Linked DNA regions of Macaca mulatta. The protein of the gene in region 5 interacts with the protein of the main gene of each other region in a pairwise test. Links are inferred from orthologs where the notes say so. Each region holds a gene or a part of one and is shown on either strand. Other genes may lie near its edges.

Evidence for each region.
Region 1: the proteins of SAT1 (region 5) and TACO1 interact in binary tests that used the Homo sapiens proteins (3 or more experiments, as listed by UniProt). The two-hybrid records come from large-scale screens. The link is inferred for Macaca mulatta from reciprocal best matches to the Homo sapiens genes SAT1 and TACO1.
Region 2: the proteins of SAT1 (region 5) and CCDC148 interact in binary tests that used the Homo sapiens proteins (3 or more experiments, as listed by UniProt). The two-hybrid records come from large-scale screens. The link is inferred for Macaca mulatta from reciprocal best matches to the Homo sapiens genes SAT1 and CCDC148.
Region 3: the proteins of SAT1 (region 5) and TCF25 interact in binary tests that used the Homo sapiens proteins (3 or more experiments, as listed by UniProt). The two-hybrid records come from large-scale screens. The link is inferred for Macaca mulatta from reciprocal best matches to the Homo sapiens genes SAT1 and TCF25.
Region 4: the proteins of SAT1 (region 5) and DMRT3 interact in binary tests that used the Homo sapiens proteins (3 or more experiments, as listed by UniProt). The two-hybrid records come from large-scale screens. The link is inferred for Macaca mulatta from reciprocal best matches to the Homo sapiens genes SAT1 and DMRT3.

The regions. Positions count from the first base shown.
Region 1 is NC_133421.1:73,392,369-73,396,514, forward strand, and holds the start of TACO1 (translational activator of cytochrome c oxidase 1), read left to right. Parts: upstream 1-1,346; 5' UTR 1,347-1,564; coding exon 1,565-1,844; intron 1,845-4,146. UniProt on the Homo sapiens protein: Acts as a translational activator of mitochondrially-encoded cytochrome c oxidase 1.
Region 2 is NC_133417.1:63,218,406-63,222,624, reverse strand, and holds the start of CCDC148 (coiled-coil domain-containing protein 148), read left to right. Parts: upstream 1-1,419; coding exon 1,420-1,480; intron 1,481-4,219.
Region 3 is NC_133425.1:85,322,222-85,326,258, forward strand, and holds the start of TCF25 (ribosome quality control complex subunit TCF25), read left to right. Parts: upstream 1-1,237; 5' UTR 1,238-1,326; coding exon 1,327-1,518; intron 1,519-4,037. UniProt on the Homo sapiens protein: Component of the ribosome quality control complex (RQC), a ribosome-associated complex that mediates ubiquitination and extraction of incompletely synthesized nascent chains for proteasomal degradation.
Region 4 is NC_133420.1:98,463,785-98,467,839, reverse strand, and holds the start of DMRT3 (doublesex- and mab-3-related transcription factor 3), read left to right. Parts: upstream 1-1,255; 5' UTR 1,256-1,562; coding exon 1,563-2,016; intron 2,017-4,055. UniProt on the Homo sapiens protein: Probable transcription factor that plays a role in configuring the spinal circuits controlling stride in vertebrates.
Region 5 is NC_133426.1:23,569,966-23,574,154, forward strand, and holds the start of SAT1 (diamine acetyltransferase 1), read left to right. Parts: upstream 1-1,389; 5' UTR 1,390-1,583; coding exon 1,584-1,649; intron 1,650-1,889; coding exon 1,890-1,941; intron 1,942-2,031; coding exon 2,032-2,115; intron 2,116-3,569; coding exon 3,570-3,671; intron 3,672-3,763; coding exon 3,764-3,804; intron 3,805-3,929; coding exon 3,930-4,100; 3' UTR 4,101-4,189. UniProt on the Homo sapiens protein: Enzyme which catalyzes the acetylation of polyamines. Substrate specificity: norspermidine = spermidine >> spermine > N(1)-acetylspermine. This highly regulated enzyme allows a fine attenuation of the intracellular concentration of polyamines.

The sequences.
Region 1 (4,146 bases), on a different chromosome or scaffold from region 5:
GTAGAGACGGGGTTTCACCATGTTAACCAGGCTGGTCTCAAACTCCTGACCTCAAGTGATCTGCTGGTCTCGACCTCCCAAAGTGCTAGGATTACAGGCGTGAGCCACCATCCCATGAAGGTTCTTATATAATAAAAAATGTAAAGTCTATGCTTTTGTGCTTTGCATCCGTTATCCCATTTAGTTCTCACAAGGCCATTCTAGAGGTAAGGAAACAAACAGGAAAGTAAAGGTACTTGCCCAAGGATACACTAGAAAGTGGAACAACCAGGGTTTGAAGCCACCCAGCCTAAACGCAGAGGGCACAAGCTTGAACTTCACACTGTCCTGCTTCTTTTTTTTTTTTTTTTTTTTTTTTTTTTTTTGAGATGGAGTCTCGCTCTGTCGCACAGGCTGGAGTGTAGTGGCGGGATCTCGGCTCACTGCAACCTCCTCCTCCCGGGTTCAAGCGATTCTCCTGCCTCAGCCTCCTGAGTAATTGGGATTACAGGCACGCGCCACCACGACCGGCTACTTTTTTTTGTATTTTAGTAGGGACGGGGTTTCACCATGTTGGTCAGGCTGGTGTCGCACTCCTGACCTAGTGATCCGCGTGCCTCAGCCTCGCAAAGTGCTGGGATTACAGGCGTGAACCACCGCGCCCGGCTGTCCTGCTTCTCTACCGAATACGTCATGCCCTTTGGAGTTCATGTCACCAGCACGGAAGTCACTACAAAGCTTTTCAGCAGCTGCCGCTTTGTTTCTCTCCGTCTTCTAATGAATTCGGTTTTCTCTTTCGAGACAGCAGAGAGAAAATGGAAAGGGGAGTTTAGCTCCAAAAGGCTTGTCTGATCATTCTCCTTCTCCTAAAGGCCTGTGACTCATCTGAGTCTGTCCCAAACCATCTCTTGCATTTAGGGGCTTAAGTGCACTGTGGCTATTTACATAAAACTTTATTACTTTAAAGCTCTAAGGGCTCATTTTGTGTTTTCAACCTTCATATGTTGATAAAGCAAATATTAGATCCTTATTTGTAAATAGGGAGGACGTTCAGAGAGATTAAACGTTTGGGCAATTCACTTTTCTAGCAGCGGTTTCTTTGCCAGTAAAATGAGGCAACAACAAAATATTTATCGTTCTGGACTTTCTCAGATTTAGGCAGAAATTTGGAAGCAAAGTCAGTTTCATAACTCAGATGTGTCTCCACTAGACTATTATGAGAAACAAAGTCCGGCGCTCTCTAGGCAACCGGGAGGGCTTGAGCACTAACTAGGTCGGCTCAAGGGCGAGAGAGGAGCGAGTACTGTGCAGCCGCGGAACGGACTTTGCGGGCAGTGGGGACTTGTTTTTGGAGCGAACCCGGTAAAGGAAGTGTGCTACGCCATCAAGGGCCCCCAGTCCCGGCTGCCGCGGGGACGGTGCAGGGTCATTAGCTGTTGGGCCGCCCCGGGCGGGCCCAAGCCTTTGGGTCTCAGGTGACCAGCACAGGCAGCCGCGGAGTCCGGATCTGCTTGTTCCGGCGGTGGAAGAGACGGGCCGGCGCTGGCCGCTGCTGCTAGCAGCTTGAACCCCAGGGTCGGGACCGATGGCGGCTTGGGCTGCTGCCAGCCTAAGCAGGGCCGCTGCCCGATGCTTGCTGGCACGAGGCCCTGGGGTCGGGGCAGCTTCTCCGCGTGACCCCCGGCCCTCCCACTCCGAGCCCCGGGGCTGCGGTGCCGCACCGGGCAGGACGCTGCACCTCACAGCGGCTGTCCCCGCCGGGCACAACAAGTGGTCCAAAGTCAGGCACATCAAGGGTCCGAAGGACGTCGAAAGGAGTCGCATCTTCTCCAAACTCTGTTTGAACATCCGCCTGGCAGTGAAAGGTGAGACCCTGTCACCCACCACTAGCTGCCGCTGCCCTCTCAGTGCCCACAGCCTCGCTTGCCACTCGGAGTTGGGCCCACCTAGATCTCCGGCCCTTCACTTTGTTTTCCTTTCCCAGTACCCACCATTGCCCGCCTCATAAATCCTCAAAACACCTACCTACGTTTGAAGTCCTCACTCACCTTTCCAGACGCTAAGCATCTGGCCAGTTTGTCAGAGAGGGAGCTGCTCTTGAGAAGATAAGCCGGTAAGGTAGAAGTGACTTCATCCTGGTCTAGCTAGGTACTTAATAGAAACAAGTCTTAAGAGTCAGGGCAGATGTGTGACTCTCCTGAAGAGACAAATCAACTCCTCTGACGTCGCCTCAAGTACCTTATTTGTTGTGGCAGGGGCACTGAGTAAAGCTATCATTTAAGTGCTTAGGCCTTAGTTTGCTTCATTAATGTTTCCCCAAGACACATTTCCTTGGAAGGTAGATTTGCAACCATGTCTTTTCTCCCTTAGGTCGCCACACTGAAAAGGCTTTTTTTCTATTTAGGGCCAGAGATTTGTAGGAGTAAAGGAAAAGTCCTGTAGAAAGCATGGACTTTGGACTGGGCGCAGTGGCTCAGTCTGTAATTGCAGGCCAGGGGCAGGCAGATTACTTGAGGTCAGGAGTTCAAGACCAGCCTGGCCAACATGGCGAAACCCCGTCTTTACTAAAAATACAAAAAAAAAAAAAAAAAAAAATTAGCTGGGTGTGGTGGTGCACACCTGTAATGCCAGCTACTCAGGAGGCTGAAGCAGGAGAATCGCTTGAACCCAGGAGTTGGAGGCTACAGTAAGTGAGATTGCTCCACTACACTCTATCCAGCCTGGGTGACAGAGCAATACTCCATCTCAAAAAAAAAAAAAGAGAAACTATGGACTTTGGAGTCAGGAAGACCTGGTTTCTGTCACTGACTAACTTATTTTTTTTTTTTTTTTTTTTTTTTTTTGAGACGGAGTCTCGCTCTGTCACCCAGGCTGGAGTGCAGTGGCCGGATCTCAGCTCACTGCAAGCTCCGCCTCCTGGGTTCACGCCATTCTCCTGCCTCAGCCTCCCGAGTAGCTGGGACTACAGGCGCCTGCCACCTCGCCCGGCTAAGTTTTTGTATTTTTAGTAGAGACGGGGTTTCACTGTGTTAGCCAGGATGGTCTCCATCTCCTGACCTCGTGATCCGCCCGTCTCGGCCTCCCAAAGTGCTGGGATTACAGGCTTGAGCCACCGTGCCCGGCCACTGACTAACTTATGACCTTGAACAAGTGGCTTAACTTTGTTGAGTTTCTGTGAAACAAGGGTAATACCCACCTTGAGGTAGTTTATGGTTTATGGCACATAATAGGCATTCAGTTAATGTTCATTTACCCCCTCAACTCATGCGTGGTATTTGTTTGCTTCCTTTTCTTCAAAATTCTTGACATTAGTTCAAGCAACATTTATTTATTTATTTATTTATTTATTTATTTTATTTATTGAGACAGAGTCTCACTCTGTCACCCAGGGTAGAGTGCAGTGGGGTGATCTCAGCCCACTGCAACCTCCACCTCCCAGGCTCAAGTGATTCTCCTGCCTCAGCCTCCAGAGTAGCTGGGACTACAGGTGTGCACCACTACGCCTGGCTAAATTTTTTTGTATTTTTAGTAGAGACCGGGTTTCACCATGTTGACCAGGCTGGTCTCAAACTCTTGACCTCAAATGATCCGCCCGCCTCGGCCTCCCAAAGTGCTGGGATTGCAGGCGTAAGCCACTGCACCCTGCCCAAGTTCAACCAACTTAATTGTGTTTATTTTGTACCAGGCATGCCACTAGTACTACAAAGATGATGAAATATAGCCCCTACCCTCAGATTACAATGTCATGTGAACATTTCAATAATTATGCACAAAGTGCAGGGCGCGGTGGCTCACACCTGTAATCCCAACACTTTGGGAGGCTGAGGTGGGCGGATCACGAGGTCAGGAGATTGAGACCATCCTGGCTAACACAGTGAAACCCTATCTCTACTAAAAAAATACAAAAAAAAATTATCTGGGCTTGGTGGCGGGCGCCTGTAGTCCCAGCTACTCAGGAGACTGAGGCAGGAGAATGGCGTGAACCCAGGAGGCGGAGGTTGCAGTGAGCCGAGATTGCGCCACTGCAGATTGCCCACTCCAGCCTGGGCAACAGAGCAAGACTCTGTCTCAAAAATAGTAATAAAATAAAATTATTTTTATTATGCACAAAGTAGTAGAGTAAGCAGTAATGAGTCCAGGAAGTGTTGTTACCATCTATGTCCCTTC
Region 2 (4,219 bases), on a different chromosome or scaffold from region 5:
TTTATCTGCCTTTGGTCTTTGAAGATGGTGACTTACTGATGGGGTTTTGGTGTGGGTGTCCTTTCTGTTAGTTTTCCTTCTAACAGTCAGGACCCTCAGCTGTAGGTCTGTTGGAGACTGCTTGAGGTCCACTCCAGACCCTGTTTGCCTGGTATCAGCAGTGGAGGCTGCAGAAGATAGAATATTGCTGAACAGCAAGAGTTGCTCTCTGATTCTTGCTCTGAAAGCTTCATCTCAGGGGTGTACCCTGCCGTGTGAGGTGTGAGGTGTCAGTCTGCACCTAGTGGGGGATGTCTCCCAGTTAGGCTACTCAGGGGTCAGGGACCCACTTGAGCAGGAAGTCTGTCCGTTCTCAGATCTTAACCTCCATGCCGGGAGATCCACTACTGTCTTCAAAGCTGCCAGACAGGGTCATTTATATCTGCAGAGGTTTCTGCTGCTTTTTGTTTAGCTATGCCCTGTCCCCAGAGGTGGAGTCTACAGAGTCAGGCAGGCCTCCTTGAGCTGCGGTGGGCTCCACCCAGTTTGAGCTTCCTGGCGGCTTTGTTTACCTACTTAAGCCTCAGCAATGGCCGGTGCCCATCCCCCGGCCTCGCTGCTGCCTTGCAGTTAGATCTCAGATTGCTGTGCTAGCAATGAGGGAGGCTCCGTGGATGTGGGACCCTCTGGGCCAGGTGTGGGATATAATCTCCTGGTGTGCCGTTTGCTAAGACCCTTGGTAAAGCGCAGTATTAGGGTGGGAGTTACCCGATTTTCCAGGTGTTGTATGTCTCATTGTCCCTTGGCTGGGAAAAGGGATTCCCTTCCCCCTTGCACTTCCGAGGTGAGGCAATGCCTCGCCCTCCTTCAGCTCTTGCTGGTCGGGCTGCAGCAGCTGACCAGCACCGATTGTCTGGCACTCGCCATTGAGATGAACCCGGTACCTCAGTTGAAAATGCAGAAATCACCCATCTTCTGTGTCGCTTGCGCTGGGAACTGGAGGCTGGAGCTGTTCCTATTCGGCCATTTTGCTCCGTGTCCCTGCATCTCTATATCTATCAAAAGTGGATAATAGTTGTAATAGAAGTAGTGAATAATTTATTCTTCAATTTAGGTAATTTCTTTCCTCCCAGGAACACAAAATAAAACACATAACAACTTTCTAATAACAAAATTTTTATCAGTCACTGGAACAATCCAGCAGGGGAGAATTAAGAGGGAAAAAATAGGAAAGAGTGGACCAAGAACAAGAAAGGCACAGAAAAACACTAATGGAGGGAGGCTTCTAGGGGCAAGAAAAGCACATTTTAATAAAATAAAAAGCATTATGGCACCCAGTCCTGGGTCTTACTTTTAAAAATACTTCAAGTAACACAGCTTTAAAAACATTTATAAAATAATATTATGAAATTTTAGTTCTCTCTTGTTTCCTTAACAGATATGGAAAAAATGAATCAAAGAGACCGACCATTCATGACAATTCAGAGAAATGATAGCTCAGGTATTTTTCCTACTTCCAACTCTGTTTTATTATTTGCACTGGATTATGTACTTTTGAAATGATATACAATTGGAATGTTGATTTTTCAAATATTTAAATAATGGAAAGCTTACTTTCTGGTTACGTTGAATGACTGGCCAGTTCCTTACAATGGGTTTGTTTTAATCCTCAACAGTGGTCAGGATACCCTTGCCGCCTTCTCCTCCTTCTCCTTCTCCTCCTTCTCCTTCTCCTTCTCCTTCTCCTTCTCCTTCTTCTTCTTCTCCTTCTTCTCCTTCTTCTCCTTCTCCTTCTCCTTCTTCTCCTTTTTCTCCTTCTTCTCCTTCTCCTCCTCCTCCTCCTCCTTCTCCTTCTCCTTCTCCCCCTTCCCCTTCCTCTTCTTCTTCTTTTGTCTTCTTCTCCTTCTTCTTTCTTCTTCTCCTCCTTCTTCTTCTTTCTTCTCCTCCTTCTTCTTCTTTCTTCTCCTCCTTCTTCTTCTTTCTTCTCCTCCTTCTTCTTTCTTCTCCTCCTTCTTCTTCTTTCTTCTCCTCCTTCTTCTTTCTTCTCCTCCTTCTTCTTCTTTCTTCTCCTTCTTCTTCCTTCTTCTCCTTCTTCTTCTTTCTTCTCCTTCTTCTTCTCCTCCTTCTCCTTCTCCTCCTTCTCCTTCTCCTCCTCCTCCTCCTCCTCCTCCTCTTCTTCTTCTTCCTCCTCCTCCTCCTCCTTTAAGTTCTGGGGAACATGTACAGAACGTGCAGGTTTGTTACATAGGTATACATATGCCATGGTGGTTTGCTGCGCCCAGCAACCCATCCTCTACATTAGGTATATCTCTTAATGCTATCCCTCCCCTAGCCCCCCAGCCCCCAACAGGCCCCAGTGTGTGATGTTCCCCTCCCTGTGTCCATGTGTTCTTATTGTTCAACTACCACTTATGAGTGAGAACATGTAGTGTTTGGTTTGCTGTTCTTGTGTTAGTTTGCTGAGAGTGATGGTTTCCAGCTTCATCCATATCCCTGCAAAGGACATGAACTCATCCTTTTTTATGGCTGCTTAGCATTCCATGGTGTATATGTGGCACATTTTCTTCAACCAGTCTATCATTGATGAGAATTTGGGTTGGTTCCAAGTATTTGCTATTGTGAACAGTGCCGCAATAAACATACATGTGCATGTGTCTTTATAGTAGAATGATTTATAATCCTCTAGGTATATACCGTATATATAGGTATGGGATTGCTGAATCAAATGGTATTTCTGGTTCTAGATCCTTGAGGAATCGCCACACTGTGTTCCACAATGTTTGAACTAATTACAGTCCCACTAACAGTGTAAACGTGTTCCTATTTCTCCACATCTTCTCCAGCATGTGTTGTTTCCTGACTTTTTAATGATCACTATTCTAACTGGCATGAGATGGTATCTCACTGTGGTTTTGATTTGTATTTCTCTAATGACCAGAGATGATGAGCTTTTTTTTTTTTTCATATGTTTGTTGGCTGCATAAATGTCTTCTTTTGAGAAATGTCTGTTCATGTCCTTCACCCACTTTTTGATGAGGTTGTTTTTTTCTTGTAAATTTGTTTAAGTTCTTCATTGATTCTGGATATTAGCCCTTTGTCAGATGGATAAATTGCAAAATTTTTCTCCCATTCTGTAGGTTGCCTGTGCACTCTGATGATAGTTTCTTTTGCTATGCAGAAGCTCTATATTTTGATTAGATCCCATTTGTCAATTTTGGCTTTTGTTGCCATTGCTTTTGGTGTTGTAGTCATGAAGTCTTTGCCCATGCCTATGTCCTGAATGGTATTGCCTAGGTTTTCTTCTAGGATTGTTATGGTTTTAGGTATTACATTTAAGTCTTTAATCCATCTTGAGTTAATTTTTGTATAAAGTGTAAGGAAGAGATCCAGTTTCAGTTTTCTGCATATGGCTAGCCAATTTTCCCAACAGTATTTATTAAATAGGGAATCCTTTCCCCATTTGCTTGTTTTTTCAGATTTTTCAAAGATCAGATGGCTTTAGATGTGTGGCTTTATTTCTGAGGCCTCTGGTCTGTTCTGTTGGTCTACATATCTTTTTTGGTACCAGTACCATGCTGTTTTGGTTACTGTAGCCTTGTAGTATAGTTCAAAGTCAGGTAGCATGATGCCTGCAGCTTTGTTGTTCTTGCCCAGCATTGTCTTGGCTGTGCGGGCTCTTTTTTGGTTCCATAATAGTTTAAAGTATTTTTTTCTGATTCTGTGAAGAAAGTAAATGGTAGCTTGATAGGGATAACATTAAATCTATAAATTACTTTGGGCAGCATGGCCATTTTCACAATATTTATTCTTCCTATCCATGAGCATGGACTATTTTTCCATTTGTTTGTGTCCTCTCTTATTTCCTTGAGTAGTGGTTTGTAGTTCTCTGTGAAGAGGCCCTTCACATCACTTGTAAGTTGTATTCCTGGGTGTTTTACTCTCTTTGTAGCAATTGTGAATGGGAGTTCACTCATGATTTTGTGCTCTATTATTGGTGTATAGGAATGCCTGTGACTTTTGCACATTGATTTTGTATCCTGAGACTTTGCTGAAGTTGCTTATCAGCTTAAGGAGATTTTGGACTGAGATGATGGTGTTTTCTAAATATACAATCATGTCATCTGCAAACAGAGACAATTTAACTTCCTCTCTTCCTATTTGAATACCCTTTATTTCTTTCTCTTGCCTGACTGCCCTGGCCAGAACTTCCAATACTATGTTGAAGTGGAGTGGTGAGAGA
Region 3 (4,037 bases), on a different chromosome or scaffold from region 5:
TGGTGAAACCCCATCTGTACTAAAAGTACAAAAATTAGCCGGGCATGGTGACGCATGCCTGTAGTCCCAGCTACTCGGGAAGCTGAGGCAGGAGAATTGCTTGAGCCTGGGAGATGGAGGTTGCAGTGAGCCGAGATCGTGCCACTGCACTCCAGCCTGGGAAACAGAGCAAGACGCCATCTCAGAAAATAAAATAAAACCCTAACACCCTAACCCATCCTGGGAGGGGCCAGGCCGGCCCACCAGGGCTGCTTCCTGGGTTCATGAAGCCGCGGTAAGTTGAGCAGCAGGCTGCTGGTACCTGTCTTCTCTGTGCCCTCCTGTCCCCGTGTCCCCAACCCCCGGCACAGGAAGCTGTGCCATCCGCCCACTGAACCGAGCCCTATCTCAGCCTCATCTACTTTATTTTTGTTTTTCTTTTTTCTGAGACAGGGTCTGGCTCTGTGGCCCAGACTGGAGTGCAGTGTCACGATCTCGGCTCACTGCAGCCTCAGCCTCCCGAGTAGCTGGGATGACAGGCGTGCCCGGCCACACCCGGCTAATTTTTGTATTTTTAGTAGAGACTGTTTCACCATGTTGCCCGCGCTGGTCTCGAACTCCTGACCTCAGGTGATCCGCCCACCTCGGCCTCCCATAGTGCTGGGATTACAAGCGCGAGCACCGCGCCCGGCCCTCAGATCGTGACAAACGCGGGTGGCTTGTCCTGGAACTGCTCAGAACCACTGTCGCTAACGAGGCCTCAGGCGGGCAGCGAGGGCCGCGTCCCTCACTGGTGCCCGAGGGGCGGCGACTTCAGGCCAGGGCAGAGGTGGGCATCGACGGCTAGATCACTCGAATGACACCGTGACACGAAAAGACCAACTAGCAGCGTCCGGGACGCAGCTGAAATGCTCCAGGCCCGGAGCGGGGACAGCCCCTGGCGGGCCGAACGCGGCTGCGGGTTCCGGACCACACGGATGGGCAAGGCCGGGCAGGGCCGACTGTCGCCGGCTGCGCGCCTCTTACCCCGCATCAAAGCCCGTCATCCCCGCGAGGCACCTCGCCAAGCCAGAGGCCCACGGCGCGCAGGAAACCGGCTTTCCCGAGACCTGGCCCGGACCCACCGGCGCCCGCCCAGTCGCCGCGGCTGAGGCGGCGAAGTTCCGGTGAGTCGCAACGCGCAGGCGCCGCACGTCAGGCCCCGCCCCCAGCCCGCTCCAGGAGTGCGCAGGCGCCACAGCCAGCTTCCCCGCCCCCCACCCGCGCCAGGAGCGCGCAGGCGCGCAGACCGCCGAGTTTTCTGCGCTTCCTTCTCCCTCTCTCCAGACGTCCTGGTCGTTCGGTCCTATGTCGCGCCGGGCCCTCCGGAGGCTGAGGGGGGAACAGCGCGGCCAGGAGCCCATCGGGCCCAGCGCCCTGCAGTTCGACCTCCGTGATGACGATGACGCGGAAGAAGAAGGGCCCAAGCGGGAGCTGGGTGTCCGGCGCCCCGGGGGCGCAGGGAAGGAGGGCGTCCGAGTCAACAACCGCTTCGAGCTGGTGAGGAGCGCGGCGACCCGGGTGGGGGCGGGGTGGCCCGTGACGTCGCGGGGCGGGACGAGCGTCCAGTCGGGTCGGGGAGCGGGGGGTCGTCATGCCAGGGGTAGGTCTGGTGACGTGGGTCCCGGCTGCAGTGGGGAGGGCGGGGCCGTGCGTCGGGGCCGGGACGACGCGGGTGGGCGGTGGCGTGAGGTCAGGACGGCGGGCCGCGGCGTTAAATTGTGTTCTAACCCCGGCGAGGTGGGCGGGATCATCCCGCCCTCAGGGGCGGGGCAAAGAGATGGGGCGGGGCCATGTCGTCGGGGCGGGGCGACCGAATGGGCGGGGTTAAGCGGGGTCCGGGCTGTGGGGAGGGCGGGGCCTTAATGCCAAGGGCGTGACCAACGTCAGCGGGGCCGGGCCACGATGTGGGCGGGGTTAAACGGGCCTGCAGCCACGTGGCTGTCGTGGGGCCATGACGCTACAGGGCGTGGCTAAGGACATGAGGGCGAGGCGATGGCATGGGCGGGGTTAAATGGGGCCTGGGGCCACCGTGGGGATGGGGCCTTGGTGTAGGGGCAAGAGTGGGGTTCTTTCAGTTCCGGAGTTGAGGACTTGCCAGGCCTCTGCGAGCATTCTCCTTTAATCCTCGCAACAACCCTGCCTAACCCAGGACCTTGCTCTTCTCCGCTGCATCCCCATCAGCCTAACCCAGTGGGTTAGTCTTACTCTTCGTTGCATCTCCAGCAGCACGTTTCTGGCACGGGGAAGTAACCAGTTTGACTGCATGGTTTGCACATGTGGTCCTGTGCCGTTTTCTCCTAAGCCCTGGCCTCCGTCTGTAACTCTGCCTCTGCGGAGTCTGCGATCCTCCCACCTCAGCCTCCTGGGTATCTAAGACTACGGGTGGGTGTCACCATGCCAGGCTAATTTTTTTTTTTTTTTTTTTTTTTGAGACGGAGTCTCACTCTGTCGCCTGGGCTGGAGTGCAGTGACCGGATCTCAGCTCACTGCAAGCTCCGCCTCCCGGGTTCACGCCATTCTCCTGCCTCAGCCTCCCGAGTAGCTGGGACTACAGGCGCCCGCCACCTCGCCCGGCTAGTTTTTTGTATTTTTTTAGTAGAGACGGGGTTTCACCGTGTTAGCCAGGATGGTCTCGATCTCCTGACCTCGTGATCCGCCCGTCTCGGCCTCCCAAAGTGCTGGGATTACAGGCTTGAGCCACCGTGCCCGGCCAATTTTTTTTTTTTTTTTGTAGAGACGAGGTTTCACCTTGTTGCCCAGGCAGGTCTAGAACTCCTGCGCTCAAACAGTCTGTTCACCTCAGCCTCACAAAGTGCTGGAACTACAGGCATGAGTCACCATGCTTGGTTGACTGCCCTTCTCACATCAATTCCACCTTTACGGGTCCGCAAGACCACCGTCAAGGTTCAATAATTTGCTAGATTCACAGCAGTTACTGAAAGTGTTTTTTTTTTTTTTTTTTTGAGATGGAATCTTGCCCTGTTGCCCAGGCCGAAGTGCATTGGCACAATCCTAGGTCACTGCAACCTTGAACTCCTGGGCTCAAACAGTCCTCTCACCTTGGCCTCTCAGAGTGTTGGCATTACAGGCATGAGCCACTGTGCTTGGCCCCATAAGTCTTTAAATTTTTGTCAATATAATTTGTCAAAAATGATATCACGTTACTTTATTTTACACTTCTTTGTTAGTGAAATGCAGCACCTAGCTATGTACTTGTTGACCATTTATAGTTAGCCAGGATGGTCTCGATCTCCTGACCTCGTGATCCGCCCGTCTTGGCCTCCCAAAGTGCTGGGATTACAGGCTTGAGCAACCGCACCCGGCCTATCCTTTGCCTTTTTATAGGGAGTTTAAACAATCTTTTTGTTCGTGAAAGCTTGCTATCAATTGTCTTTAACGTATTTTCTCTGTTTGTTTGTTCTTTAAATTCTTTAATTTCTGCGTGCTGAAAGCCACTTTTCTCATTGTTACACATCCATCTCTCTAGTGTCTTCACATAGATCTTCCCTGACGGTGATCCTCCTGCCTCAGCCTCCTGAGCAGCTGGGACGACAGCATACCCTACTGTGCTCAGCTTGTTCTTTTAATGCTTTTTTGTTTTTTCCATTTAAATATTTAATCTTTTTGGTATTTATATTTGTGTTGGTGGGAATTGGGAAACAGTGTGGTTCCTGAGTTGACAGAATAAGAGTCCGTAAGGTCAGAAACCACACACACCCTTTTGGACTTTCTGGAATGAGTTTGGAGTGTCAGTAACACCAACAGCCTCCGTGGATGAGCGTCTGCTTATCGTGCTTGTGTTCTTAGGAATTTCAAAGAATTTTATCCAATGGCACACATCGATCTTAATTTAAGCATTCTATACTTTTTTGCCCTTACAACTCATATTTGGAAATAATATAATAGAAATGTTTATTGGCGTTCTGTTAAATAGCTCTTAATAAACAGAAGTATGAGACACATTAAACAGCCACTTAGGACTGAATGGTTTTGAATGTGAATGCATCAGTGAGAGA
Region 4 (4,055 bases), on a different chromosome or scaffold from region 5:
CGAAGGCTCTGGAACTGCCCCGCTTCGCATAGAGCTATTGTGCTGCCCTGCAGTGTATCCACCTGTTTTTTTTTTTTGGTTTTTGTTTGTTTGCCGATGGGCAGGGGGGAGGTGCGAGCGGGGAGGGCCTTCCTCGTGCATATATAGCGATAGCCTGCACTAGGCCAAACCCACCACTCCTGGGGGAATGGTAACACGCAAATAATCTAAACAAAGTTTTCTGCTGTCATCTTGTGCAAGGACCCTCTCCCTCAAGACATCTATGACTGGGGTCTATGGGTTAAGAAGGTGAAAAAGTGGCCCCATCCCATATCCATAACTAAATCATAGAATCCGTGGGGATTTGAATTGAGTGGCTGGCGCAAGACCTCCGTTTGCTTTCAGTGGCTGCTGGGAGACAGGAAAGGATATCGGTAACTTTGCGGGCGCTAATGTGGCTTCTGCGTCTGCCTCTTCAAAGTTTATACCCGGCGCTTAACAAATCCTTTACGGGAACACGTACGTCCCTGACTTTTTTTTTATATTAAAACATAGGAGGGTAGAAAAGGAAAATTCGCCTGCAAAATGGGTTGTCATCCTTGGGCCTGCAGATCTCCAAAACCATTTTCTTCTAAAGCAACAAAAGAGAAAAAAATACGTTCTAAAAGGAAATTACGAAAAGAACCTAACTTTGCTAAACCAACAGTACTCCACTCCCCTATCCTAAACTCCACCTAGGTCCGGGGTGCCCCCGCAACACTCCAGTAGGTTCGAGTTCTCCCGGAGCTGAGCTTCTGCGGCCAAATGTCGGGATAAAAGCGGCCTTGGACTCGGAAAAACGCGGCCAGATCTGGACTGGAGGGAGGAGAAGAGAGAGAACGGGAGCGGCCACCTCACTCGCTTACAGGCACCCCCGCCCTCACTCCCGCAGGTCCTCCCCTTCTCCGCCCCGCTAGCACCGCCGCGTTCTGGAGCGCCGCAGTCTCCCGCTGCGGGCTCGGGTAGCGGAGAGGGCTTGGAGGAGGGGGCCGTGAGCGCCCCCGCGAGAGTGGCCTGGCTGCAGGTGGCAAGGAAGGTGAAGTGCAGGCACCCGAGGGGCGCAAAGAAGGAGAAAGGCGTGGGGCGGGGAGTGCAAGGAGACAGGGACCTCAGGGGTGGGGGTGGCGGTAGGAAGGAGGAGGGGTTGGGGGAGGGCGGCGGAGGAGGTGTTGGGTCCCGCCAGCGCGCGAGAAAGCTGCAGAAGAGCTGGCTCAGACCTTAATCAGAGCTCTCGCCGGCTCTTTGCAGCCGCCGCAGCGCTTCCGCTAAGAAGGACGTGCCGACCCGGCTGCGCGCCCAAGGCAGCGGCCCGCGTCGGGGTTGGCTGGGCGTGAGCTGGGAGACCGAGCTGTGAGCGCGAAGGGAGCTGGAGAGACGGCTGCTGCACCTCCAGTCGCCCCGGAGCACACACGACCACCGGGGCAGCGGGATCAAGGGCCGCGCCTCCCGGAGGCCGCCCCTAAGCGGGCCTCGCAGCCCCGCCGTCCAGCGGTCCCTGGCCCGCTCCCGCCGCCAGCCCGCCAACTCATCCGGGAGCCCGGGGCATGAACGGCTACGGCTCCCCCTACCTGTACATGGGCGGCCCGGTGTCGCAGCCGCCGCGGGCGCCCCTGCAGCGCACGCCCAAGTGCGCGCGCTGCCGCAACCACGGCGTACTGTCCTGGCTCAAGGGCCACAAGCGTTACTGCCGCTTCAAGGACTGCACCTGCGAGAAGTGCATCCTCATCATCGAGCGGCAGCGGGTCATGGCTGCGCAGGTGGCGCTGCGCCGGCAGCAGGCCAACGAGAGCCTGGAGAGCCTCATCCCAGACTCGCTGCGCGCTCTCCCAGGGCCCCCGCCCCCTGGGGACGCCGCCGCCGCCCCGCAGCCGCCGCCGGCCTCTCAGCCGTCTCAGCCGCAGCCGCCGCGCCCTGCTGCCGAGTTGGCCGCGGCCGCCACGCTGCGCTGGACCGCCGAGCCGCAACCCGGGGCTCTGCAGGCGCAGCTCGCCAAGCCAGGTAAGAGTGTGTGAGGTGCTGGAGTTTGGCGGGGCGCGTGGGCGAACTTCGGAGTGTCTGCTGCAGCTCCACTTGGAGGCCTGGAGGCAAAGTTTTGGGAAGTGGGCCTCGCGGGGCTTTCCTTCCCACTCTCCGCCAGGCCGGGGCTTCCTCTCCCGGGAGAAGCCGGCTGAGTCTGGACCCAGAGCGAGTAGCACTCGCGCCCGCAGGGAAGGCGCCTCCGGGGAGCCAAACGACGGGACTGTGCGTCAGGATCGCCAGGTGCCTTCCCAGATTAAAGGGCTCGGAACGTGTCAGATTGAGCAGGGAGACAACGGAGTTGAGACAGGACCAAATTAAAACCCAGGCGCTCACACTTACCACGGAGGGGGGAGTAAGGTTTTCCTGGCTGCAGGCTTTAGAGGTCCTCGCCATTCGGGAGTTGGAATGGGTAGGTAGGTGTAGGGAAGGCGCCAAAGCCCAACACTCCTAGCTGGTTGTGCTTTTCCGCCTGCCTGGCCCGGCCCAGGGCCCAGGAAAATTTGAGTGAGGACAAGTATCCAGCTCTCAGAACCCTGGCCTTTCTAGCTTTGCTCCGTGGCCTTCAGACTCTTGTAACTGGTGAAATAAGTTCCATTTAGCAATGATAGTAAAAAGGTCCCGAAAGGCTCCTGAGCTGATAATGGGACCAAGAATCTGGTGCGCCCAGAATTCACTCCTTTGCAGAACCTCCTAGATCCTTTAACACTGTTCCCCAGGCCGCCCTCAGCTCTCTTCATGGTTTAAAGAAATTTAAAAAAACAAAATCTGTTTCCATCCAGGCCTCCTGAGCTTGGCAGGCCTGAGTTGAGTCTCTCAGTCTCTCTCTTCCTGGGGAATTTCTGGCTTGCGGTTCTGCCCAGCGCAAGAGCTCTTTTGATGGCTCTTGGAATAAAGTAGACATGTGTTTGGTGTTTCTCCTTAACTGGGGCAAGTGTACAAAGGAACACAGCCCACCTTCTCCCGGAAGGGGAAGGGGGCATGCTGGAATTAGGAGTGGGAAGGTCCTGAGCCCTCCTGCAGGTAGTACCGTGGCAAAACTGGTACCTACACTGACCTGCCAACTCCCTAAAGACGGTACCCCTAGCTTCTGGAGAAAGGCTTTCAGGAGCCCAGGAGTGCTTTGTCTGGATCCTGTGGAGCTGAGGAAGTGAGGTGGGACTCACCTGTTTCGTAGTGACGGCTGACTGGCAGGTGGAGTTCTGCTGCCCTTTCAGCAACGCTTTCCAGGCCTGAAGCTCTGAGAACAGCCTGTGTGAGAGTAGAGCTGGGAATTTTAAAGCCTGAAGAGAGTTTGCTGAACTTGGATTTTGTGGATATTTAATCCAAGTTAGCATATAAACATTTCTCAGGAATGCTCGCCAGTTGTCTCTCTTTTGTCTCTCATCTTTTTTATATTTATGGAGTTGCCACAGACGAAGGGGAGGGAGGAGAAAAAGGTTTTTTTGTTTTTTTTTTTCTCCCATTGGTTTGAATAAATAACTAGGAAGAGTTTGGTCTCAGCTCTAGAAGTGGATTTGTACCAATATATTTTCTTAATTTTTTCCGTTTCCAGCTTTTCTGGTTCCGTTTCCCCCAGGACTAGGGCAGAGGCCGGAGTTAATATCAGAGGTAGCATTTTGCAGTGGCCATCTGCCCAGCAGCATTCCTGTGACAGGGCATTGGGTTCTGTGGTCTTTGTCCACGGAGATTCCTTTCACATCCTGTGTTCTTCAGTGTTCTTTGGGATAGCTAAAGTTCATGATTTCTAAAGAGTCAGGAAACTGAAAACACAACCCCAGGAGGAGGAGGAGGAGGAGTGAGGGCAGGCAGGAAGGCGGAGTAGGCAGCGGCAGCAGGATACATGCTTTGGGAGAAGAGAAAAAGGAAACGGATTTCAACTGGACAAACCAGAGCTGTGCTCTCTGTTTTACTCCTACTTAGTACTCAGGGATAGCCTGAGCCTTCCAAATTGAAAACAAGTAATTGCAAAGGAGAATAGGATTTATCACAAGGAGAGGTCAAAGTGACGACTTTGGGGG
Region 5 (4,189 bases):
GCTCACACCTGTAATCCCAGCACTTTGGGAGGCCGAGGTCGGAGGAGCACTTGAGCCCAGGAGTTCGAGACCAACCTGAGCAAGATGGTGAGGACCCTGTCTCTACCAAAAAAAAAAAAAAAAAAAAAATACTTATCAAGGAATCCAAAGACCTTACCTTCGAAAATTGTAAAAAACATAGGAATACACAAGCACATATTTTTTTCCTCACCAGAGCAATGACATCATCACATATTCTGTAAATGTATAATTATTTCAAAAAAAAGTTAAAGGAAATGAAGCATAGAGGATGGAGCAAGTAGGGATTACAACAACTTTCAACAGCAACCGAAGTCAGAAGACAGATAACATCAATGTGCTGAAAGAGGAAAACTTCTGAACCTCAAAATATATAAACAGTGAAATAAACCCTTCAAGAATTGTAAGATGGGCTGGTCCAAAGGTAGTGAGTTATCTCAGTTGATTGTTCACAGTCAGTTACAGATCAAACTCCTTATTTTACTCTCACTACTGCACTTGACTAGTCTGAAAAAAGGAATTATAAGATGAATTAAAGACACATTCAGATAAGCAAAACTGAGAAAGTTTAGTAAAAGCAAGTCTTTACTAAAGCAAATTATGAAGAATGTACCTCGGGCAGAAGGAAAGGTGTCAAGATCAAGTGTCGAGGAAGATCAGAGATTTAAGAAGGTATAAGAAGGTTAGAAAAGTGAGAAAAAAAAATGCTGTCAACTCTAGAAACTACAAGTATAAAGAAAAAAAGATAATTGGGAAATCTAAATAACCTACCTTAGGAAATTCTAAAAACCGCAAGAATATACGAGCTCACATTCCTTTGGTCATAAGAGCAGTGTCATCATTAGACATCAGGTCGCCTCTGGAAAATTCCATTGTGAGTTTAAAAGGCAAATGACGTCTATTATTCTAAAACTAGTTCTGCCACCGAAACTCTACAAAGAATCTTGGGATCTGCAGGGTCTCCCGGATCACACTTTGAGAACTGCCGCTTTAATCTTCCTCCCATCTCCTAAGTCCGGGGTTCCTGAGTTTGCTTCCCTGACTGGCCAAGGAGAAAAGAGAAAGGTCACTTGTCGGGGGGCCGCAGAGGGAATTCCCCTCTTTCATTTGCAAAGGTTACTGGGGGACACACCGGCTCCCAGTAGGGTTTCTGCCAAGGCTCCGCGAAGTGCCACTAGAGGGCGCCGCTAGCGAATCCCACAGCGCGCCCCGCATCCCCAACTTTTGTCCTCCGGGTTCACACGGGCGCCCGGAAGAGAGGGTGGTGCCTGGGAGAGGAAACTATGCGCCCCGGGGCCGCGGCCTCATTGGATGAGAGGTCCCCACCTCACGGCCCAAGGCGGGGCTTCTTTGCGCTTAAAAGCCAAGCCGGGCCAATGTTCAAGTGCGCAGCTCTTAGTCGCAAGTCGACTAAGGTTTATCAGTCACTCGCCGAGGTTCCCTGGGTCATGGTGCCAGCCTGACTGAGAAGAGGACGCTCCCGGGAGACGAATGAGGAACCACCTCCTCCTACTATTCAAGTACAGGGGCCTGGTCCGCAAAGGGAAGAAAAGCAAAAGACGAAAATGGCTAAATTCGTGATCCGCCCAGCCACTGCCGCCGACTGCAGTGACATACTGCGGCTGATCAAGGTAGCGGAGAGCCCGAGCTCCTCCCGTGGCGTAGGGTGGAGGTGGTTCCGTTTCCCGGGGTGGGGTGATTCGCGTCTCGAGGTCTGGGCCGGTGTGAGAGCCCAGCCGGTTCCCCTTTCTGCGCCCATCCCAGGCCCGGCCGCTACCCCGCCCCGCCCGCCCCATTCCCTTCCACTGAGCTGGCCGGCCGGAGCCTCATTTTGTTTTCTGCTTTTCTCTCTCCTATGTGCATCCCCCCAGGAGCTGGCTAAATATGAATACATGGAAGAACAAGTAATCTTAACTGAAAAAGGTAATTCAACAGTGGCGGGGCGGGGGACAAGCGTTCGGTGCCTGTCACCTTCGCCGAGGCCATTACCGTCCCTGTTCCCCCTTCTTGCAGATCTGCTAGAAGATGGTTTTGGAGAGCACCCCTTTTACCACTGCCTGGTTGCAGAAGTGCCCAAAGAGCACTGGACTCCGGAAGGTAACCCCTCTCCCTTTACAGAAGCCAGAGAGACCGAGTGTTATGTAAGAAGTAGTGTCGGCTGTGTAGAACCACTGACTACACAGGCCGAAGTTACTGAGAACTTGGACAGAAAAAATAGCCAGCAAGTGTTCAAACTACTGAGGAAAAAAAAAATTAGATACGCTGCACTTGAGAATACTAGGGCAGGTTAAAAGAGCTGTTTAAGTAAGTATCAGAGTGCTGTGGAGACTCTGAAGAGTTTAAGCTGCTTAAGTAAGTACAAGTGCTGTGGCGACCCCGAAGAGTTAGGTATAATGTCATTTGTTGTAATTCAGTTTCATAAAATGGTTCTTGTTTGACCCTAAAGTAACAGTTTTTGTAATTGTGTTAAATCACATTTTTTTCTTTAATTTGTCCCAATCTTCAGGTTACAGTCTCTAGCTTCGCCATGTACATGGCCCTTCCGTGTACATGGATGGGCGGGGAGGTAACTAAAAGATCCTTTACACAATAAAGTAGATGATCATGATAAATGAGGTAAGGTCCTATTATCACACACTTCAAACACGGTAGATCAGAAACCCACTATGATACTCGCTTCCTGTCTGTTTGCTAAGGAATATAAAATGGCTAGAAAGTTTAATTTGAAACCTTTGCCTCCATTTGGAATAGTAGACACCTGTTAAGAGGGTGTCAGATGCCCCTTTTTTTTTTTTTTTTTTTTTTTTTTTGGCTGATCCCTGTTGATTGGTCAGAAGACAGCTCAGCTAAAAGGGGAAGTTGTTTGGGTGATTGCTTTTTTTCTGACGTCTGTTCCTCAGGCTAGAAGAAATGAGCAGAAAACACGGAATGAGTACTTTTTAAAGTAATGTGCATGTTATGTAATACCTGTTTCTGGGCAGTGCTGCCTCTTCTGACTCAACAAATGGGGAGAGCAAATTGAAAATGTGTAAATTGGAAGGCAAGTTCTGAAATTAAACGTTGTACTTTGGCCTGATGTTCTGACCTTTAAGGAAGCAAGAGTTTGTAAACTTCCAAATATTTACTATTCTGAACTGCCGTGTAAACCTGACTTGTTCCCAAGTCAACATACCAGTATACCAGTAGGATGTGAATAATGTGTGTGTTGAGTTTAAAACCATAGCAGTTTTGCTCTGGCAAGTAATGAAAGTGTTCTCGCTTCCTGAGTGTGAGCTTCCAGCAGACTGCAGAGTGGCCAGTCCACAGTTGTAGCCTGACTTCAGTGAGTTCTGATGTGTGCTTTTTGCAAATACATGTTTTCAGAACAGTGAGATCATCCAGCAGTGGCCTGGACTGCACTCACATAACAATCATGAGACAGTCGTGGCTGTTTGTTTCTGTAATACATGCATGTATGTTTTTTTAAACCTATGATAGGCCTCTGATTCTGCAGCTGCAACTTTTATGAAATGTTTTCCTTCTCCACATCTCATGTGATACTCTTATTACAGGACACAGCATTGTTGGTTTTGCCATGTACTATTTTACCTATGACCCGTGGATTGGCAAGTTACTGTATCTTGAGGACTTCTTCGTGATGAGTGATTATAGAGGTACGATTGAGTTCGGAGCAGAGGGTCTGAAGAGAGTTCAGGGTTATATAAATCCTTACAATGACTTTTTAAATTGTACTTTTTCTTTTTAGGCTTTGGCATAGGATCAGAAATTCTGAAGAATCTAAGCCGGGTATGTCTTAGTTTTTGGTTTCCAAATTTGTAAGTTTACTGGATTATTTTAATGATGGAATAAAAATTGGGTCTTGCAAGCAGGTTGAAACGTCACTGAGTTTGTGTTTTACTCTCTCATGATAGGTTGCGATGAAGTGTCGCTGCAGCAGCATGCACTTCCTGGTAGCAGAATGGAATGAACCATCCATCAACTTCTACAAAAGAAGAGGTGCTTCTGATCTGTCCAGTGAAGAGGGTTGGAGACTGTTCAAGATCGACAAGCAGTACTTGCTAAAAATGGCAACAGAGGAGTGAGGAGTGCTGGTGTAGATGACAACCTCCATTCTATTTTAGAATAAATTCCCAACTTATCTTGCTTTCTATGCTGTTTGTAGTGAAATAAT